Linked DNA regions of Sus scrofa. The protein of the gene in region 2 interacts with the protein of the main gene of each other region in a pairwise test. Links are inferred from orthologs where the notes say so. Each region holds a gene or a part of one and is shown on either strand. Other genes may lie near its edges.

Region 1 (3,648 bases), on a different chromosome or scaffold from region 2:
AGAACTGGGGATGGAAGTGGTACTGGTAGCTACTCACTGGGATGCTGGGATGATTAAAAGAACTAATACCTGGGAAGAGCCCTTGGGAGATAAGCTCTAGGCTGTTTACGGGCAGCCTTGTGAGTTGGTTAAAGAGCCTGGACTCTGGGGCTGAGCTGTTTGGGTTCACATCCCAGCTCTGCTCCTTTCCAGCTGTGTGATACTGGGCAAGTGACTTAACCTCCCTGTGCCTTGTCTCATCTTTCACTTAGATGTGACCAACACTGCCCATGTCTACACGTGAGCATTAAATAAAAGAATGCATGTGAGGGCGTTCCCGTCATAGCTCCGTGGTTAACGAATCCAACTGGGAACCATGAGGTTGTGGGTTCGATCCCTGGCCTTGCTCAGTGGGTTGAGGATCTGGCGTTGCTGTGCGCTGTGGTGTGGGTCACAGATGCGGCTCCGATCCCGCGTGGCTGTGGCTGTGGTGTAGGCTGGCGGCTATAGCTCCAATTCAACCCCTAGCCTGGGAACCTCCATATGCCGCAGGTGTGGCCCTAAAAAGCAAAAAAAAAAGAAAAAAAGAATGCATGTGAAGTGCTTAGATCCACACCCGGCCCATAGCGAGCTTGATGGAAACGTTTCCTGACATCATGTTGTGGTGGATTCGTTTGTATCAACATGTATTTACCAAGACCAATACGGCTCACATCAAGGTCTTTACCATTCATGCATTCCCTGTAGTGGGAGGTGTTTCATGTACGGCAGTCATAGTTACAGATGCCGACGATGGCCGGGCTCAGACAGGGCAAGTGCTTGTCCCTCATCCTGCAGCTAGGACATGGGTTGGGCCACGTGGACTCGAGCCTGGCCCGGGACATCCTTGCACAGCCATCCTCCTGTGTCCTTTCTCAGAAGCCGTCAGAGCTATTTAGTAGCCGCATCCCAGTCTGTGGGCAGCGACTGGATATTTTTGCGGGTTTTATTGGCATCTCCCCATGCCCTCCCCCGCCCTCTATCGTGCCCGGGGGCCCACAGTGGGCACCATCCCCCGCATGCACATGTCAGGGGGTGGGGGGAGCCGGGAGCAGCCCTCAGTGCCTTCCACATGCCTCTCGCAGGTGACGTACCAGCTGAAGATCCTGACCACGGCACTGTTCTCCGTGCTGATGCTGAACCGCAGCCTGTCCCGGCTGCAGTGGGCCTCCCTGCTGCTCCTCTTCACCGGCGTCGCCATCGTGCAGGCACAGCAAGCCGGCGGTGGGGGCCCTCGGCCGCTGGATCAGAACCCTGGGGCGGGCCTAGCCGCTGTCGTGGCCTCCTGTCTCTCCTCGGGCTTCGCAGGTGTCTACTTTGAGAAGATCCTCAAAGGCAGCTCAGGCTCCGTGTGGCTGCGCAACCTGCAGCTGGGCCTCTTCGGCACGGCGCTGGGCCTGGTGGGGCTCTGGTGGGCCGAGGGCACTGCTGTGGCCCGCCGTGGCTTCTTTTTCGGGTACACGCCTGCCGTCTGGGGCGTGGTGCTCAACCAGGCCTTCGGCGGCCTCCTAGTGGCTGTCGTCGTCAAGTACGCCGACAACATCCTCAAGGGCTTTGCCACCTCCTTGTCCATTGTGCTGTCCACCGTTGCCTCCATCCGCCTCTTCGGCTTCCACGTGGACCCGCTGTTTGCCCTTGGCGCTGGGCTGGTCATCGGTGCCGTCTACCTCTACAGCCTTCCCCGCGGTGCAGCCAAAGCCATAGCTTCCACCTCCGCCTCTGCCTCCGGGCCCTGCACCCACCAGCAGCCTCCAGGGCAGCCGCCGCCACCGCAGCTGTCTTCCCACCGCGGAGACCTCAGCACGGAGCCCTTTCTGCCAAAGTCAGTGCTGGTGAAGTGAGGGCTGGCGGCGGTGGGGGGGTCGACAGGGAGGGGTGCTGGGTGGAGGGGGCTGGGCATCTGCAGGACCCAGGTTGCCACGGGGGTGGGGCCTGGCTCCTCTGGGGTTGGAAGGGTCTTTTCTTCCAGGTCATTGAGACTTCCGGAAGGGTGTGGGACGAGGGCAGGGCAAAAACCAGGGGTTTTTAGAGCTGCCTCCTCGGTCCCAGTCTAACCCCTTTGGGAACTGGGTTGGGGGGATTGTCCTTCAAGGCCTTTTTTGTCTGTCCCCCTCAGCCAGAGGTGTCCTGTCTCTCTTGCCTGGGAGAGTCCCTGCCAGCGACCCCTCTACCTTTGTAGGGTCACATTTGGACAAAAATGCTACAGCTCTGTAGTCATGACTGATGCCTGCCTGAGGGGTCGTTTCCCATAGCCTGAGGCCTCCCTCCTCCCGGATGACCACACTGGATCGTGTTAGCAGCTCAGTTTTTCGTGGCCTTGGGGCAGCTTCCCTGATGTGGGGACTTGAAAATGGGCCTCTTATGAGCACCCAGGGAGAGAGGAAGCAGGGGGAGAGCTGAGGTTTTTGCATCAGCCCATTCATTCAAGGGGAGGGTGCCGTAGGGGTCCTTTTTTTCGTGGTTTGGGGACTCGTGGTGTAATCAGATGAATTGATTCAGGGTGTGGGGGAAAGTGGGGAAGGGCGGTCCTTGAAGTGACCTAATCTCATGGAATCTCTGACACTGTCAGCTGCTGGATGCAGGGTTGTGTCCTGAGACATCTCGAGAGGAGAGATACAGCTGCCAACCACACTTGTGATCCCCCAGTGGCTGTAAGAGGCCCCCTTCCTTCATGGGGAGGGGTGTCTTTAAATTGCTGAAATGTGGAAGCAGCCCCTGCACTCCCCAAAGCTTATTAACCCCTTAACCGTCTCCCAGGGTACATGTGGTATGTGTGCGTGTGTGCGTGCGTGTGTGTGTGTGTGTGCGCGCGCGCGCACGCACGCGCGTGCACCTAGTGCACACTTGCGCTTGGGAGATGCCTGGGCTGTCTCTGCTATATGTACATAGGGCCGTTGGATCTTTATTTTTGATTAATTTGTTCTGATTTTTTTTTTTTTTGGTTTGTTTTCTAAGGAACTGTAATGAACAAATGTCAGGATACCCAATGCCAAATAAAGATGTTGTATTTATTTAGTCCACGTGTAGCTTTCTGACCCAGAGAACCCGCTGTCTCCGCGTGGGCTCTGTTACTAACCCCGGGACTACCAGCCTCACCAGTCCCCCTCGCTTGCTCAGGACGCCTGCCTGCCAGCCCACCCCAGCTTCCGTCTTTCTTTTTTTCTTTCTTTCTTTTTTGCCATTTCTAGAGCCACACCCATGGCATATGGTCGTTCCCAGGCTAGGGGTCCAATCGGAGCTGTAGCCGCCAGTCTACACTACAGCCACAGCCACGCGGGATCCGAGCCGCGTCTGCGACCCACACCACAGCTCACGGCAACGCCGGATCCTTCACCCACTGAGCGAGCCAGGGATCGAACCCCCATCCTCATGGATGCTAGTCGGGTTCTTTAACCGCTGAGCCACGATGGGAACTTCCCCCACCCCAGCTTTCTTGTGTTTTTCTTTCCTCCCCACTCCCACCACAGGTTGCTCACCAAGGTGAAGGGTTCCTAGCCGCTGGGAATGAAGACGCTGGCCTGGCCTCGATCCCCCTTCTTGCCCTGGCCCAGTCAGGGCCAGACTCTCTAATCAGTATTAGTGGGGGGTGGGGTGGGGGACACACCAAACCCCTTGTCCCCACCGCCCCGT
Region 2 (3,648 bases):
AGGAACCATGAGGTTGCGGGTTCGATCCCTGCCCTTGCTCAGTGGGTTAATGTTCCGGCGTTGCCCTGAGCTGTGGTGTAGGTCGCAGACACGGCTCGGATCCTGCGTTGCTGTGGCTCTGGCGTAGGCTGGCAGCTACAGCTCCGATTAGACCCCTAGCCTGGGAACCTCCATATGCCGCGGGAGCGGCCCAAGAAATGGCAAAAAAGACAATAAATAAATAAATAAATAAATAAAAATGGTATAGCTAGATATTGTAGTATCTTAGGATACATTTCTCTTTTATTTTTTCTTTTTTGTTTTTTGTTTTTTTTTGTCTTTTTGCCTTTTCTAGGGCCACTCCTGAGGTATATGGAGATTCTCAGGCTAGGAGTCTAATCAGAGCTGTAGCCACTGGCCTACGCCACAGCCACAGCAACTTGGGATCTGAGCCACATCTGCAACCTACACCACAGCTCATGGCAACGCCGGATCCTTAGCCCACTGAGCAAGGCCAGGGATCGAACCCGCAACCTCATAGTTCCTAGTCGGATTTGTTAACCACTACACCATGATGGGAACTCCAGGATACATTTATTATTTTTTAACACAATAGTCATAATGATTCCCTCTTATATGTTTTTAGTCTTAACAGGCTTTGAAACTAATAACAAATATGAAATCAAGAACAGCCTTGGACAGAGGATTTACTTTGCAGCAGAGGACACTGATTGCTGTACTAGAAACTGCTGTGGGCCTTCTAGGCCTTTCACCATGAGAATTCTTGATAATATGGGCCGAGAAGTCATAACTCTGGAGAGACCACTAAGATGTACCAGCTGTTGTTTCCCCTGCTGCCTGCAAGAGGTTGGTAAGCAAGTGCCAGGGTAATTTTTGCAAATATTTTGCAAAGTAATCCTGCAGGAATTTTCACCTCATCATTGAATTTATGGAATCAAATGAGATTTAAAGGAAAATAAGTCCATAAGCTATTGGTTTTTGCTTGAGAGTAAGTTGTACAGGAAGGAAGGCAGGTGAGAAAGAGTGAACAATTAGCCCCATGTCCCTGAACAGTGCACATCCTGGGAGATCAGAGGTCTCAGAGGCCAGACTTCTTGATCTTCAGGGAGAGCCGAGAAGGCAGGGCACCTTAGTGAAGTACCCCACCTGAAATGACCATGAGGGGCTTGGCCAAAGCCCAAGGAGGACACCCTGTAGGATATCCTAGAACGCCATCCCAGAGGCAAGTGAACAAAAGAATGGGGAAAAGCACAGATACGTTCATCTCAATTTTCGCCAACCTACAAGGACCAAACCTAGCAGAGGCTTCCTCTGAGAAATTTCAACTGCTGTTGTTTTCAGTTCTCCACTGGAAAAAAGTACTGTATTTGAGTCCCTGCAATATGGATGTGCTGGTTGTGAACCCCTTCAGCTCTAGAGAGACCAGGTGTCTCTTTCATAGTACTTGACAGCCCTCTGATAGAGAACACAGATCTCAGGGAGATGCCAGTGCACAGAGTGTTTATAGGAAGTTGGCCTTTGCCTAGATCCCCACTGACCTGAGCCCAGCACTGCCTGGGTCACTCGGTCATCCGCACAGGGAGCTGTGAGAGCAGGGCAGACAGAGACACAGGCACATAAAGATCTGATGTCTAATACTGCACTTATTTTGAAAAGATAAAAGAACTTATTTAAACTGAATTTTGGTTTTCATGTTATTTAATTTAGATGTGATAATATTTATAGGAATAGTTGAGGGAAAACTGATTTGATAGAATATTTTCCACAATTTGTAGAGCACATTAGCATACTTTATACTATTGGTTTTAATAAACAGGAAATCCTCATTTACAGATGAACATGCTGAGATGCTCTCAGGGTCACCCATACATTTTTCCTAAGTATAAAAAATTTAAAATCTAAGAGACCAGTAGAGCAGTGCTCAGAGTGGGGATTGTGAGTTTATAGCTCATCTTCTACTTTGCATCTGGGGAATCTGATGCAAGTTAGTTAGCCTCACTGTTCATCAGTTACTTCCTCTATAAATAGAGATGATAGTACCAACCTGGTAAAGACATGGTGCGAACTAAAACAGTGCCTAACATTAGAAGGGGTTCAGTAAATGAGAGTTCTTACTAGACATTTTTATGATTACAATTTATATATTCTTTTGCTTTTGTAGATAGAAATCCAAGCTCCTCCTGGCATACCAGTAGGTTATGTTACTCAAACCTGGCACCCATGCTTGCCAAGGTTTACAGTTCAAAATGAGAGGCGAGAAGACGTACTAAAAATTACTGGTCCATGTGTTGTCTGCAGCTGTTGTGCAGATATTGATTTTGAGGTAAGAGATGTGATAATGTTTATAGGTTTTGCTTTCTTAACATAAGAATAATATAAACTTAGAGGATGTTACAAATGTATTAAGTAAATATGTATGCCCTGATTCCTCAAAAGGGACTCAGTGTGCTCATATATTTATTTTTTGTCGGGGAGATGGTTATGGCTCTGATTAGGTGTCACTGTTGCTTATGCTAAATGGAAAAAAGAAAAGCAGAACTTTGTAGTCAAGTAACTATAAACAAAACACCTAACATTTAAACATGGTGGTTTCTGTATGGAGGCATTGTATATTACCCATTTTAAACAGAACATTAACCTTGTCATTTAAGTCTGAATGCCAAAGCTTACAGTCCTTTCTTAGTCTGAAACACTGACTGCCAGTACTCTAGGCCCTCTTCAGAAGCTCTAATATCTTTGAGTTCCTACGAAAACTCAATTATGCAGAAAGAATTTTAACAAAGATAATGTAAGAGGTACTACCTAATTATGCTTTTTTTTATTTTTAATAGTCATTTCCCCAATATAATTTTTTTTTCTACTGTACAGCATGGTGACCCAGTTACACATACATGTATACATTATTTTTTTCCCATTATCATGCTCCATCGTAAGTGACTAGACATAGTTCCCTGTGCTGCACAGTAGGATCTCATTGCTAATCTATTCCAAAGGCAATAGTTTGCATCTAATTATGCTTCTTCATGATCATGCTTTTATCCTCATATTAAGTTCATTCATTAGAAATCACAATATGTGTGTATATTTACTACCTGGAGGAATTTCATCACAGCAGTTTTTCATCAAGTGGGGCCCAGCTTTATGGCTCAAAGTATTATTTAGTTGCAAATGCTTAAAAGTTGAGAGATTATAAAATCTATCTTGCTATCATGATTCTTTCATATAAGCATAAAATCTGTTAAACTGGACCATTTCTACAGAAGGGATAGAAATCTAAAACTGAACAGAGCTGTCCCCTTATGATAAATAAGATATGGGAATTCTGCCACTGTCCTCTGGCTTCCCAAGGTCTCCCATTATTCAGCTTCATTCTTTTATATTATCTGCCTGGCTTCTCTCATAATGATTTTTAATTCCTCTGTTATATAAGGATGAATTACTACTCTCATTGACCTCAAAGTCTAACGAGAGAGACAGGAAATTCTAAGAAAACATGTATGATGTATATAGAGACGCTTATAAAGGATGCATATACTGTGTGTGTGTGTGTGTGTGTGTGTGTGTGTGTGTGTGTGTGCATGTGTGTGCATGTGTGTGGAGTGGACTGGAGAACTATATACTATGTTTGATGACTTTATAGGTTTATGT

Evidence for each region.
Region 1: the proteins of PLSCR1 (region 2) and SLC35A2 interact in a two-hybrid assay, tested with the Homo sapiens proteins (2 studies listed by BioGRID and IntAct). The two-hybrid records come from large-scale screens. The link is inferred for Sus scrofa from reciprocal best matches to the Homo sapiens genes PLSCR1 and SLC35A2.

What each region holds. Positions count from the first base shown.
Region 1 is NC_010461.5:42,981,966-42,985,613, reverse strand, and holds part of SLC35A2 (UDP-galactose translocator), read left to right. Parts: intron 1-1,103; coding exon 1,104-1,840; coding exon of another isoform or gene 1,841-1,859; exon of another isoform or gene 1,860-3,033; intron 3,034-3,485; coding exon 3,486-3,513; coding exon of another isoform or gene 3,514-3,648. UniProt on the Homo sapiens protein: Transports uridine diphosphate galactose (UDP-galactose) from the cytosol into the Golgi apparatus, functioning as an antiporter that exchanges UDP-galactose for UMP.
Region 2 is NC_010455.5:86,846,312-86,849,959, reverse strand, and holds part of PLSCR1 (phospholipid scramblase 1), read left to right. Parts: intron 1-625; coding exon 626-846; intron 847-2,161; coding exon 2,162-2,323; intron 2,324-3,648. UniProt on the Homo sapiens protein: Catalyzes calcium-induced ATP-independent rapid bidirectional and non-specific movement of phospholipids (lipid scrambling or lipid flip-flop) between the inner and outer leaflet of the plasma membrane resulting in collapse of the phospholipid asymmetry which leads to phosphatidylserine externalization on the cell surface.